2 linked regions of the Lonchura striata genome follow. The protein of the gene in region 1 interacts with the protein of each later gene in a pairwise test. Links are inferred from orthologs where the notes say so. Each region holds a gene or a part of one and is shown in the gene's direction. Other genes may lie near its edges.

The links.
Region 2: the proteins of HTT (region 1) and YWHAB interact in binary tests that used the Homo sapiens proteins (3 or more experiments, as listed by UniProt). The link is inferred for Lonchura striata from reciprocal best matches to the Homo sapiens genes HTT and YWHAB.

The regions. Positions count from the first base shown.
Region 1 is NC_134606.1:9,474,162-9,481,886, forward strand, and holds the start of HTT (huntingtin), read left to right. Parts: upstream 1-4,641; 5' UTR 4,642-4,742; coding exon 4,743-4,843; intron 4,844-7,725.
Region 2 is NC_134619.1:9,246,039-9,253,366, forward strand, and holds the start of YWHAB (14-3-3 protein beta/alpha), read left to right. Parts: upstream 1-4,241; 5' UTR 4,242-4,356; intron 4,357-7,328. UniProt on the Homo sapiens protein: Adapter protein implicated in the regulation of a large spectrum of both general and specialized signaling pathways. Binds to a large number of partners, usually by recognition of a phosphoserine or phosphothreonine motif.

The DNA.
Region 1 (7,725 bases):
TTGGGCTTAACATATATCTTCCAGGAATCTGTGAAGAAAGAGGGCTAAATGAAAGGGAAATTGTTCCTTAGAAGTGGTTATTTACATGTCCGCTTTTTTGGAAAAAGGAACTCCTTGTAAAAAAGTGAGAATTTGTTTTTATTAAGTTTTACTTATTTCACAAGTGTAATTTCACAAGTTTTTCCTTAAGTTCAGAATAGTACTATTGAATTGTTTTTGAGTGAATACATGTTTGTTCGATTATGACCTAATTTCATTGGGTTTGGGGTTTGGGTTCTTTTGGTTAGTTGATTGGTTCTTCCCCAACAGGCTCAAGATGGCATTGTTGTCCTATAAATTTGTCCCTTTTGGCTAGAAATACGAGCACATAATAATGACTGCATTTATCTGATGTGAATCCCCTGGAGAATTAGAAAAAACAAGGAACTGGAAGGATAAGCAATCAGCATAAGTCTCCTTACACAATACACAGAGGGAAGATGTTATGCTGTTTAATCTAAGGTGACTTTACTTATACTCCAGTCTTTACTGGAATATAAGGAGCTTGGAAGTGCATCTTGAAAGCAGGGAAAGGCTAAAGAGAGGGGAGAATGCCTGAAAGCAAAATATCACGGTGCAAGAAATTTAATATGAACTTAACTCTTGAATTTTTTTAGGACAAAGCTGGGACAAAGAAGGGGGAAAATAGCAGGTTATGTTTACTGATCATGTGGCCTTTTACTTCCATGAAACTGTTGGGGTGGGATGGGGGAAGCCAACATAATTTCTTGTAATTCAGCATGACTTCATTCTCTAGACCCATGTGTTAGAAGGCTTTAACAGCACTGAGACAATCCGATGTTCTTCTGGTGCAAGATTTGGAAAGACCTATGGAATTCCATGGAGTTATTTGCATGAGATCAACCCTCCTTTCCTGTGGCGTGTTTCCAAGTATTTGTGTATGTAAATCTTCATGTTTGCTTGCAAGTACCTCAAACCTCTCTATTTAGCTCAAAATTCAGAAACTGTGAAACAATGTACCAGTGTCTTATTGATTTACTTAATGCTTTTCAATGTTGTGACCAGAAGAACAAAATCTTCATGCCTCAGGGATTTTTTTTCTATTAAGAAAGCTGTCAGCTTCCCCCTGTCCCCTGAGGTGCGTTCATAATAGAGATGGTATTGTTTCTGGATTATAAAAACAACAGAACAGTCTCAGCTGAAAAAATGAGCACTTAAAACCAATAGTAAGTAGGGAAAAAACCTGTAGTATGTGTGTAACAACAAGAGTGTTACTGACAAACCTTAGCCTTTAATATCACGTTCTTTTTTTTTCCCCCCAAATCATTCATAAAACAGTAGTCCTGAATGTTTTTGAGTATGAAAGAGAATTATCTCCAAATCAAAATAAAATCATCTGGTTTATAAATCAATGATAGAAGCTATTGAAACCAACTAACAATCCATTATTAGAATGCACTTCAATTATTTTTCGAACTACACTGATGTAAGAATTTCTTCATTGCCATTTATACAGATGGAGAATACTTGTTTACAAGTTACTAAAATATGACAACAAAAGTAATAATTTTCTATGGTTTACAGTTTAGCATTATATGAATTTAACATGGGACTTATCTTCAGTTTAGTTAGTATAGGTTTTCAGAAACACTTCTCTTTAGGAAGTGAAATTCTAATTATTGGAAAGCATCTTTAAGCTGAAGATTTGATTTTAATTACTCACTTCGCTTATTTGGTGATGATTATGTCTCTTCTGAATGAATTAATGAAATATTCTTTTTTATTTCATAATTGCTGTTGTGGTGTAACTTAAGTTTTGCACATGACATGTAGGTAACTTTTTTCCATGATCCAATTGTGTCCAAAACACCAGAATTCTTTCCAGGCATAGGAAGCTGACTGTTAAATGTGATGTGTTACTTCCAGCATCTCCAAACCACTGACTGTTTTTGTGTGAGCTGTTTTCCTGGACATTCTAGCATTGTAATTCCTAAAATAAAAGCAAAACACTGCCACATATCTCAACCACATGTATTACTGTCTAATGTGATTTATTTACCATGTCTATCATGGTAGCTGGGATTGAAAAAGAAATAAAAAAAAAGAAAATTGTAATTAAAATAAATTTCCAGTTTCTTGAAGCAGGAAATGTCTCCTACATAGTGTAAGCTTTTTACCAGTGTAAGACAGTGGAATCCAGGAAAAAATGCCCCAGTTCTGCTGTACTGGCTCAACTGATACCTTATCTCATGGTCTGGATCTAGACTTTGGCATAAATTTCCATGTGAAAAGACAGAATTATCGGGATGGGCTGTTTTTCATTAGTACATTTACTGTAATTTTATAGCATGAGTTGAAGGACAGAGCCCCCAAATGCTCTCCAAAAGGGCTTCAAATTAAATGACCTTAAAACATTCAACTGTGCTGTGACATATTGCAGATGATCCGAGCATATGCCAAACCATGTGGGCCAGCAGTGTCACGTACCAATTACCTACTGAATTGTTCATGGAAATGCAGAAATGCTGGCCAAAGTGGGACTTCAGGTTAGGGTGAAAAAATACTCTTGACATGCTTATCTTAAAAGCATTAAATCAAGAGGTAACTTAAGAAACAACATTAAAGCATGTTTCTTTTCTTTCCTTTTTCTTCTGGAGGCTGGGATTAATTAGTTGTCATCCCCTAAATTTCAGATCTTCTTTTAGGTATGCACTGTTAATTGGAACTTCATTTTTCTTTGAAGTAACGCTGACTTTACAAAAACACTTCTCTAATCCTGCCTTGCTTTTTCTTGCCCCTTACCTCGTTTACACCTCTTTACTTTTGTCAGAGTGTGTGTTTGTGGGACAGATCAGTGACGTGATACCTGCAAAACCATGGATCAGTCAGTTTGGGCTGGCAGAACCTACTGATAGAAAATGCTGATACCCGGAATTACCTCCCAGTTAGCTCACAGCTAATGAGCCTCAGCGCTGGAGCTCGGGACAGGGAGAACAAAGAGCGCCGAGCTTGCGGGCAGGCACGGCCTTGGCGCTCCTGCCCGTGAGTCAGCAGCCCGCAGGGACTGGCACATCGCATGGAAAGCTTCAAAACAGCCTCGCAAGGTGGCTTGGTTAATCTTTGATAAGACCTTATGCTCTTTTTACTCACATTTATTTCAAAGTGTGGAGTGGCACATGCACAGAGTGTGCAGCATTCCAACTCTGCTGTCATCTCTTATCGTGTATCATTTGCTAAATAAAAAATTCATGATTATCCACATGTTCCAGAGAAACGTTTCTGCAAGCTTTATCATAGAATTATCAGAAATTCTGGTCTTACCTTAAAAGCTCACATTTTGTAGCACTTCTATAATGAAATAAGGTTTTGTTCAAGTTGAATTGCTTTCAGGGCTAAGGATAGGTTTCCTTTCAGAGGACTGTTTCAAATAGTTTCTTTTATTAACATACTAATAAAATTAACTGGCAGAGAGAATGCTGTTCTAGTGAGTATTTGGCAAGAATGTTATCTATGACTTCTTTTGCCCTGAATTTTCAGAGACATGAGCTTTGCTTCATTTCTTCATGTCTGCTAACAATAACCAAGCTGAGTTACTGGAAATTTATTTTCTTAGAATTCCTGAGTTGTTCTCCATTTTTACTGCTGGAACCGGTTTTGTGTGTGTGAGATAAATTGAATTGCCAGTTCTCATCAGCTGTAATTTAATGTCTGTATTAACAAGTAGATATATTAAAATCAGTGGTTGCAATTGGAAACTTAACAGAACTGTCGATTTTTTCTGTTTACTAATGGAATCAATGACTTGAATATTCAATACTGTCGCTCTTGTATCCTGTATGTGCGCACACTAAGTATGCTCTGATAAAGCAGATCCACACTCAGGAACGCAGCGCTGAAAGGCCAGCACGTGCGCTGCCGAGTTTTAAGTGTCCTGTTCCTGTAAGAGTCTCTGCAGCCTAAAATAAAACCGGAGTGCCGGCAGCGCCTTTGGCCGCCACTTGTGCCGCGGGGGCTGGCGCGTTACCTGCTGCGCACCCGCCACGTGCGGCCGCACAGCGCCTGCTCTCGCTTTGCGGTGCCGCTGGGAGCGCGGCTCCCCGCGGGGCAGTGCCAGGGGCTGCCGGCGGCTCCCCGGGCCGCTGCCAGGGCCGCTCCCCGCCCGCGGCACCCCCGGTCCCGCCCGGTCCCGCCCGGCCCCGCCCGGAGCCGAGCGCGGCCCCGCCGCCTCCCGGGCGCCACCGCCGCTGCCGACAGGGGGCGCCGCAAGAGCCGCGCTCGGCCGCTCCGGCACGCGGCGAGGGGCGGAGCTCCCTTCTGATTGGCCAGAGCTCCTGTCGCTCTGGCCGCTGCCCCGCCCCGCCGCGGCCCGCGTGTCCCCGTGTGCTCCGACGTAATGGGGCGCGTGACGCCAGGCCGGGGTTGCCATGTGCGCACGCGCGGCCGAGCCCCGGCCCGCGGCCCCGCTCCGGGGGGGCGGGGCGGCCCCGGGGGCGGGGCCCGCGCGCGGGGGCCGGCGGGACGGATCCAAGATGGCGGCGGGGCGGACGGGAGGCGGCCGCGGCCCCGAGCGGCGCCCGCCCCATTCATCGCGGCTGTGACGGGCCCGGGCCCGCCAGAGCGCCGGCACAGCGCCGGGAGCGAGCCCGGGGCAGCGGCAGCGGGACAGCACTCGGACCCGCCAGGCGCCCGTGACAGGGCGGGTCGGAGCGCGGGCCGGTGCCGCCGGCGCGGGCGGAGCGGACATGGCCACCATGGAGAAGCTGACGAAGGCCTTCGAGTCGCTGCGCTCCTTCCAGCAGCAGCAGGGCCCCGCCGCCCTCCCCGAGGAGCCGCTGCAGAGACCGTGAGTGCCCCGCGCCGGGACCCGCGGCTCCCGACACGCGTGTCCCGCGTCCCGCCCGGCCCGGCCCGGCCCGGCCCCGTTCCCCGGCAGCGGCGGCTCCCGCGGCCGTGCCGCGCTGCCGCTGGCGGCTCTCTGCCCCGCTTCACACGCGGAGTAACTTTTGGGCCAAGTGCGTTTGAAAAGTCACCCGTGCGGGAAATGGCCGGGAGGTACAGCAACGCTGTGCGGCTTTCACAGGCTGGTTCTAGGAAGGAAAGCCTTTTTTTCACTTAGTACACTGCTGCAAAAAAGACCAAAACCCTTAAGCATAACTTGAATAAAGCACTACTTTGAGCATTTTCTCTTGTGATAACTGCTGAAGCGCTTTTTGTGAGACCTTGTTTTTCTGTGCTTGACGCTTTCTGCATGAGTGTCCTTTTTCTGAACTATCTGCAGCCGATTGTACCGCTTTCCTGAAATGAGGGTTCAAGGCTGAGCAAGAGAAATTTCTTCCACTCTCTTATTCACTTTTCATATCTTTACCTAAAGTTCATGTTGAAGTTAAGAAATGTTTTGATGTTTGTAAACTGCAAATTTGAAGAGTTTTAGTCTGAGCTCTGATGCTTTCAGAAGGAGATGTTGTGAATGTCTGTGACAAAGTTAACGTCTTGTGTGCTGCATAGGGACCTAAGAGAAGATGGTTTAAACATTCCTAATTCTTAAGTGTAAGGGATAAACGTGTTAGATCCATGAGATATCCAGGTTTCCATGGGGGGCATTGCTGGGTGCCCCAGGGCAAGGAGCTGTTCAGTACCGCGGTGCTGCCCCTTGCGTTTGCACCCCCTAACACCAGCCTTTGCTGAGCGGGTGTGGGGGCAGGAAGGTTTTTAGGGATAAAGACATGAGTCACACAGGTACTTTTTCTCCTGCTGTTGAGGAGAAGGTGGAAGCAGAAGGATTGAGGAGCAGGTAATTTCTAACTTGGCAATTTGTGGTGCTGGCAGGGGAAGTGGAGCAGTGGCTCTGGGCTCCTGGCCACCCGTTCCCACTGCACTTTCTGATACAGTTGCCAACTAAATTATCACGGTTGGTGTTGTTTCTCTCTGGAGAATGTTGTCTCAAACAATCACAATGCATTTCCACACTTCTGATGTTTAATAGGTGAGAAAACTCATCTTCTTCATGAGCTCGTTGTTCTTAGGTGCCTTATTGGTCTGCAGGGACTAATTTCTCTGCTGTGTGCATTTCTTTTTGCTAGTACTTTGTGTGACATGGATGAACATCTATTTCCAGTCTTTTCTGTGTGCTATTCAAATTTCTGTCTTGTTACTGGTGAGAGAGGTCATGGTATTGCAGGAGAAAATCCTTAGAATTATTTGTGATGCTTGTGATATTGTGCTTGGTTTGATGGTCTAAATTTAGGTATGTTCTGCTGTAAACATTAAAAAATTAGTGTTGGAGTTGTCCTCCTTGACTTTGCTTTGTGTTTAAAAATAGGCTGTTTTAAAAAGCTGATGGGATTGTATGCCCCCAGGAACTGGACAAATTCTGTGACAGCACTGAGCCTCATAAAAGCCAGTGAAAAGCTATTGTGGCAGCCTTTGCTGAGGCCTCTCAGACTTTTAGTGAAATAGCAGGTGACATATTGAATGTAATTCACAATACTATCTGCATTTGTTTTTTCTTGTTTGTAGTAGACTGAAAAGGAAAATTGTGTTTGGGGAGAAGTGTTCATCTTTGTTGTAGTTCTGTGTAAATAACACATACACATCTTGTAGTTCTGTGTAGTAAGTTCCTATCATCCTACTGAGGACTGTCTCCTGTTATGAAATGTTTTAAGATCAGAGAGATTGGGGTAGAGAAGAATTAATTGTTTACCCAGCAGGTATTTATATCTTTCTTCACTTTATTGTAAGACAATGACTCCAGAACTTTTGATAATACCATTATCCTGTCTTTTTTTATTAAAATATTTATTAAATCCAAGCTTTTACCAAGAAGATAAGATCTTTTTCTGTTTCAAGAGATGCTAATCAGCAATAATCATGTGTTATACCATGCAGTCAGATGTTAGTCTCTGGTCCCCTCTTTCTTATCTCTTGTTGGGGTTTTTTTCCCATCTATGTAAAATTGAGTTCTCCTATCATATTGCTTCTATGCACTTCTGCTTAGGCAACTAATTTTCTTCCTTATATTTTTTCAGCTTTTTCAGACTGACATTTTGTTAGAAATTGGATGTTTTGTTTTGGATCACAAAGCTCCCACTAACTTAGTTTACTAGTATGATGTAAAAATTTAGAGTTTGATTTGTGAATCCAAAAATGGATTTCTTACATTTTCTCTTGTCAATTTATTGTAGTAGTCACTTACTGTAATTGTTTTCAAGTTTTTTACATTTGATTCCAACCATTACCTTTACAGAAAAGGTACTGTAAAAGCCCAAGCAATATGGTTTTTTTTCTATACTTTTCAATTTTTCCGTGTCTTTTATGTTTGACTGAAGCTGTAGATTGGTTTGGTCAGTGCTATATGGCGGCCTAGCATTAATGTTTTGTTTTACTGAAGATCACACAAACTGCATGGGTATTACCTATGGGCCTGCTTGTCAGAAGCGGTTCCTTGATGGTTTTTTACCATGTCTAGGGTATGTAGTACATCAGTTCTGGTTAATTTGACAATCCATCATTGCCTGCATTAATGCACCTTGTTTCTGGGTGTCCCCTGTGTTTGGACTGAGTTTATTTCTTGATCTGATCCACTCATATTTCTGTTTGTTATTAAAATAATAGTTTTTAGTTTCTGTTATTTTTGTCAAGATCAATGTCAAGCCATTTGGTTTGGCCCTTTTTTCTTATCACTGGCTCAGCTTTAGAACTTCTGTACTCTTCACATATTTTTAATTT
Region 2 (7,328 bases), on another chromosome or scaffold:
TAAATAAAGTTCAGATTTTGGGAAGTCACCTCTTCAAACCTCTCTTCATATGTTGCTTTGAAACTGGATTTCCTTAGGGTCACTGAGTTGGCAGCTTTGAAGGGTTTGCTATGTGTTCCTTGGCTTGAATTTTTCTTAGGCATTACCTGGCACCAGAAGTACACAACGACTCTCCAGGTCCCAACAGCTACAAAAATTTACAGCAATATATTCCATTCCATTTCTGCTTGTTTTTTTTGCACTGCCACTTTTTATGAGCAGAACATAAATTACCTGAGTTTAATTCATGACCCAGAGTTCAGTGCATTTCCCCAGAAATAGCATTCTCTGTTTGGGGCACTACTGCCAAAATTGCATTCCTGGAGCTGAATTCCTATCCCATCCAAGACGTTTGTTCCAACCACATTTCCCATCATACTATTTTATACTATTTAGGTCATTTATATTTTCATGCTCCCACAGTTACTTCTTATAAGTTGCTTTGCAATTATGCTCTTAACTGTGTTCTCCAAAGTCACCTTCAGACCTTTAAACACCTTAAAATTAAAACACCAATTTGACTTTTGCCCAAATCGCATTTCATAGAGAAGTTGAACTAAACTACTTGCATTCCTTGGACAGAAGGAAGGACTGAAAGTTGCCCAACAAAGTATTACTTAGTCTAGCATTTAGTTGGCAGGGACCATGAGGAAAACCTGATGCTCTTTGCTTTAAATGTTGCTTTAATTAAACTTATTAATAGTTCTATCCTATGCAAGATGTTTATGCCTGAGCCCAGTTTAGTTGTAATTTTAGTTCTAACTAACCTAATTCTAGTTTTAACTTCATCACAGTAGTCTATAATGTCACAAGCAGCTTATGCACAGAGAAAGTACAAGATGTTTTGCAGAAGTTTTTACCTTGGAGCTTTTAAAAATTTCCTATTGCAGAAATACTAATTTAAAAGTACTGTTTTGCTCTTTCATGTTCCTTGTTTCTTCCTTACAAATCTCCTTCTTAGGACCATCATGTGCAATTCAAAGTACACCACAACCAGCATTGACAAATGATGAAATTCTTAATTTACTGATGAGACTTCTGGTGGACATCCCAGCTGTCAGCTCCAGCAGGTCAGTTCTGTCAGCTGCCATAAACCGCTGCACCAGTTCCATGCAGGATCCATCACCTAATCCACTATTTAGTGATCTGTGAGATCCAGCTCTAGAACAATTGAAGTATCCAGGCTGTACACTCTCATACACAGAGCGGAAGATTGGGAAAATGAGTACCAAAGCAATCAAGAAATAAAATATACTTAATAGGTGGCGATTACATTTTGTGAGTGTCTTTCCTACAGCATGGAAATGAAACACCCTCGTTTTTCACTCGGTCAGGCTGCAGGGAGACATCAGCTGCAGGGACAGCGATCATGCAGTGCCATCAACTGTTTGCTTCTGGTACCCACAGCAGCTGAGACCTACTACTTTCAACACAAATGACCAAAAACAAACAAACAAAAAAAAAATCACAAAAATTGAGCGACTCGTCAGGATGGCATTTCTGAACAAAGGTTTGTCCACTTGTTCTAGTACAAATCTCAGGTTCGTTTTTCCTGTACCAGAAGCCGCACACCTGAGGGCAGGTACAGAGACTGGAGCAGCTCGAGCTCTTGTGCCATCTGCTGGGAACAGCTTCTGACATTGCTGCTCGCACAGGAATAGAGCCAGCCCTCCCTGTTTGGCAACTGACATCTTTGTCAAAAAGCTTATTACACTTCTTTTACCTGCTATTGATGTTAAGTACTAACTTAGTGCAAGAGAAGTGGTTTGGAGATGGAAACTCGCTCTCTATAGTGAATCAGTTGCACAAGACAGGAACAAACTGTCCTTGCAGCCCTGCAGAGCCTCCTTTGAAGGATGAAGCCTGTGGTGTATCCAGGGTAGGGCTTTGGTCTCACAGTCCTTGTAAAGAACCACTCCTTCAGCAAAGGGACTCCACCTCAGCCATGAGCTGTATCCTCTTTCACACCAAATCCTGTGATTTCCTCCCTTCTGGATTTACGGTCTGTGAGGCTGTAGCTCAGTGTGAGCACTCTTAGGGCAGCTGCTCTGTGCTCCCCAGGGCAGTAACAGGTTAACGCTGACCAGCAGCTAAAGCCAAATTCCATTTAGACCTCACACTTACCTACCTGAAATGTGGCTCTTTGGAAAAACACACAACAGGACATTTTCTGCTGGAGAGCCAGGCAAGCTGGTCTCTCTGTTGTGCTTGTTTCCTCATGGATCCAGCCTGTCCCTGAGATAATGGCTGTTCTTGCACAGATTGGGTATCTCAGATTCTTTGAGCCAATGTGCACTTCCTCCTCTGAAGGGTGACACATTGAACCACTTGCTGCTGGTGCAAGCTTTTCCAGAGTTGAGGTTTGGTGTTGGTTCCAGCCTTCACCATCCCTGGAGGAACTGCAGGGTGCCCTGCTTATCTCTAGCACCAGACCAGGCACAGGACTGGGAAGCCCCCAGGGTAGGAAAAGCTCAAGGAGGAATATCTGTATCATTAACACATTTCTGTCTCGGTGGCCTCTGGCCCAGCAGGGACACAGCTGCAGGAGCTCTGTGACAGCAGAGGGTGATGCTTCACCTCTCTGACTACACAGTATAGAATTGCCCTACCTGGATGGTGTGGTGGAGATTGCATGGTCCAAAAATAGCAGTTGAGAAGGATTGAGTGCTGCATTTCAGCGGTGATGATGAGAATTTTGTGTGGACAAATTGGAGGAGCTGTATGAAAGGAGCTCAGTGCACCTCACTGGAAGAGGCATGAGCTGTGACAACACAGGTAGGAAGAGGAGAAGGGTGAAGAAGGCACAGTGGAAGTCCAAATGAACAGGTGTTGACAGCACACCTCTGCAAACTGAGTATGATACACAGATATGGAGGCAAGGAATGTCAAAACCAAGTAATTCTGCCATGAATCAGCACCTTCAAGGCCTCAGCAAGAACACTGGGAATGGCCCAAATGGAAACTGAGAAGATAAGGACTATGGAGAGGATCAGGGGTAAAAAACAAGTTTTGCCTCAAAAAGAAAAAAGAGAGTGATGACAGCAACTAATGGAGCTGAATCAGTGTTTGCAGCTTAAGATAACTCGTGGGTGCCAAGTAATTTTCCTTCTGAGTTTCCAAAGTAATTAACCTTTGGACTGAGATTAAGCAGGAAATTAATGAAGTCCTTCCATCACCAAAAAGGAATCTGACAGTGACTTTGATGGGCCCAGGACTGTATCTGAAAGTAGAAGAGAAAATTGGACTCCAGAATGCTGTAATTGAACCGAGTCCAAATAATAACACTTTGACAAGTGTTGCTGCCATAAATTTGAGATCTGGGTGCAGTGCAATTGAGTTGTGTGTCCTGTCACTTCTTATCCAAAAGGATTATACGGATTACAAAACTGAACTCTTTTACTTGGATTCCTTTTTGGACACCAAGCTAGACTTCTCCTCATGCCCCAAAAATGTTCTCTTTTGCCATTTCCTTAGAAAAATGCAGTTTGTAAGTTGCATGAATCTTATCTAGCCAGTATGGATCTTGATTTTTCAGTGAAAACTGAAGTTGTAGGGAAGAGCTGCTACTAAAACAGCATTTAAAGGTGATTTTGCAATTCAAAGCATTTGTCAGGTTTTATTTCTGAGGGTGCAGAGAATAACCACACTGCCTGTTTTCCGAGATGTCCGATATATATCCCTTCGGAACGGTCTGCTCAGGGAGGCGGCAGAGTCACTGTCCCCGGTGGTGTGTAAGACCGGGTGCAGCGCCATGCTCTAAGCGGGGTGGAAGCGTTCAGTCATAGATCGGTGATTTTAGACGGCTTTATCCAACCTAATCAATTCTGTGATTCTATCACTTCTACTGTGAGGTCCAGCCAAAGAACAGCAGTGCGAAACGACAAGAAAACCAGAAACCGTTCCTTTTGTTGCCGGAGAAGCTGCTGCACTTGCAGGCCGCAGCACCCCTCCCCTGGACCCCCACCGGGGAGCTCCGCGGAGACAAAGAGCGCGCAGCGCGGCGGCTGCGGGGTGTGAGCGCAGCACGGGCCGTGTCTCGGGGGCTCTCCCCGCTCGGGGCGCGCTCGCACGGCAGCGCCGGGCCCCGCTCGGCCCCGCTCAGCCCGGCGCAGCCCCGGGGCCGGGCCGGGCCGGGCCCCGTCGCCATGGCGACCGTCCCGCCGGGGCGGCGCGCGGGCGGTGGCGCCCCCTGGCGCCGGAAGGGGCGTGCCGCGCGGCGGAAGCGGGCCGAGCGCCGCAGGGTGTGTGCGCGTGTCCGTGGAGCGGCCGCCGCTGCCGTCGCCTCCCTCCGCCCGTGGGATCCGCGCGCGCCGCCAGGTGAGGGCCGCGGCCGGGGCGGGCATCGGCGTGGGGGGATCGGCACCGCGACCCCGGGGCAGCCCGCCCCGGCCTGCCCCCGCTCCGCTCCGCTCCGCTCCGCCCCGCGCGGGCAGCCGCAGGCCGCGGCGGGCGCGCCGTGCGGGGGTCTCCGCGGGAGGGTCCCCGGTTCTGCCTCCCCGCTCCTGCGTCCCCCGGCCCGGGTAACGGCGTGACCCTCGCCCGGCGGGCGCGGGCGGGCGGCGCCGCCCCTCCCCGGGCGGCCGCGCCGCCCCGCCCCGGTGAGTCACTGGCGGCCCGGGGCGCGGCCGCGCTCACCTGGGCCCGCCCGGCGGGACGGGCCCGCGGCGAGCCCCGCCGGGAGCGGCGCTGCCCGAGCCAGCGGCGCTGCCCGGGGCCAGCCCGCACCGCCGGGCCGGCCTCCGGCCGCCCAGCGCCGGCAGCTCCGTGCCCAGCCGGAGAGCGCAGCTGCCGTGCCCGTGCCCGCGGCTCTGAGCCGGCCCGCGTAGGTGGTCGTGGCCGTGTAGGAGCGCTTTAGAAGGGAATAAAACCCGTTTATTATTTTCCAGTTTTGATCATTCGTGTCCATTTGGGAATAGAGATGCGTTTAGGGAGGACTCCACAGGGAAAGAAGGTTGGTTCAGTCCCAGCGTACAGAAAGGCTGGGCAGTAGCCCAGATCTAACGGGTTTGGGTTTTGTTTGAGGTATGTATAACCAGGTATTAATTGGGATGTTAAAATAACAGTGACATGCAATCACTGTATTGGCATCAATGCATCTCATGCAAAGAACACAATATAAATTGGTTGCTTTCAGATAGATTCCTTATTAATAGTTAAAACACATTTTCCACTGATAGGAGAACAAAAGACACATCATACAGCACCATAAAAGCTAAATTCCCATGGAAGAACATCAGAGGCTTTGGCGGTGTTTGTAATGTTTAGTATCTTCAGTGGCTGTAGGAATATTTGTGTATTCACATGTTCACTAACTCAGGACACCTCAGTCAGAAATTGTAACACTTTTAATATGAAAAAAGATGAGCTTATTTTAATTTTAAAGCAATAATGAGATAAAATCTGGTCTAGAAAAGAAAACAAGAACACAAGTGCCTTTTTCTCCCTTCATATTAAAGGACTGCAGAAATATCCCTTGTATCATATTTTGTTTATTAAATTGGTACCAATAAAGTGATAGACTCCTTGCACAGATGGGCCTGGTGCAGTTTTCTCAACCTCATTATGTCAGTACCGCATGTTCTGATCTCCGCTATTTTGATGTTGAGTCGTTTTATTTTTTCCCGAGCAGGCCTGTGCCAGTATGCAGCTTTTTGTGATGCATGTGAATAAACTCGGATGAGGAGGAGCTCACTAAATAATTATTTGGTTAATGAGGTAAAAGCTCCTACTCTGATCCGTGTGGTATCCTAATACCAGGCATTACAGTAGTGTGTCTATTATATGGCCACATTCCTTGCCCCACCCTGTAATACAAATACTGTCAGTTTATTATTAACAAAAGTGATTTACCTGTGATATGAATACATTATTTTGGCGTGAACTTTATGCCCGGGGGAAGATTTTTTGGGTATAGTCACAATTTCCACCTGGATTTGAGCCAAAAACAGTTCTGCTGGTTGGAACAAAAAGGTGTTGCCATGTGGGGATGTTGTGCTGTGGAAGTGCCAGCATGTCTCCACCTGCAGCTGTACTGAGCAAAGGGCCATAGGCAGGAGCAGAGCTCTGCTTTTCAGCCTGGCATTAGGAAGAACAAGGCTGCTTTCACTAAATTTAAGATGTCTGTACAATATCAGTGTCCCCACGTGCTGTTGGTAGTGGTCATAGGCATTTTGTAATACTCTATGGAGAGTGAATGCCATTGAATGTCATTTTATTCAATTTTACGAAGCAACAAGTAATGATGGCAGCAGATGGCCGGAGCAGGGTGAGGCATGGCTTTATAGAATGTTAATTTTATCTCAGCATTTGCATAGAGACTTGAGCCGAAGGCCAGAGTAGATGCAGAGGAGGCTGAAGTTATGTGCTGCACAAGGTCAGCAAGAATATCACAGCTGTGAAGTCATGTTCCTTCATTATGTTTGCAGGATATTTTACTGAACTTGTTATACCCAAGCTTCTGATGGGAAGATTTTGCTGTTCAGATCTTAACAGAGCTATTCATTTTCAAACATCCCATGGTAGCCTTTGAGGAAACCATCTAGAGAAACACAACTAATAAAATCAAATGCATAATGCTACAGGAAAGCAAGGAAGGTTCCTTACACTCAACTGAAAGAGCTGCACTCCGTTTCCTGTAAAAAAATAAATGTTGGAAGCACTGTCCAGTTGACAGGGAATGCCATCCCCATCATGCAGATACTCGTGTTAGCATGTGTGTACCTGAATGGTGGAGAATGATTTTCTGTTTATTTTAGAAATAATGTCCCCAGAGCTCTTACTCTCTGTAGTTACAGAACTGTAATTTGAGGTACCACTCACCTCACGTGAATGTTTATTTTCAGAATGAATTGCCTGTCCAGAAATCAAATAAGGTGTGTTCACATATTGTTGGAATATTGAACTGCAAATTCTGTACCAGTCTGCTGCTTTTTCTGGTAGAATTTGAGTGGACTTAGAGAGCTTATGACTGGGAAGTATGATTCCCTCCCATTTCACCAAACCTTGTTTTGTATTCTTGTCTCACAGTGAAATATGCAAGTCTGTTAACTTGCAGCTCTGCTCAACATGTTAGTGACCAGTATGTCAAACCAATAACTACACTGCTTTCTCACCAGTTCTTTTCTACAAAGTGGAAGTGTTTGTCTGATAGATTCTCATGCTTGCTGTAGAGAGAAAAACAGTGCACAAAAATCGATGACTTAATTAGCATCAGAAGAACAGGTCATCAAGAGCAGCAGACTTCAGACCAACATAAGCTTATTAGAATTGTCCTGTCAGTTCGATATGTT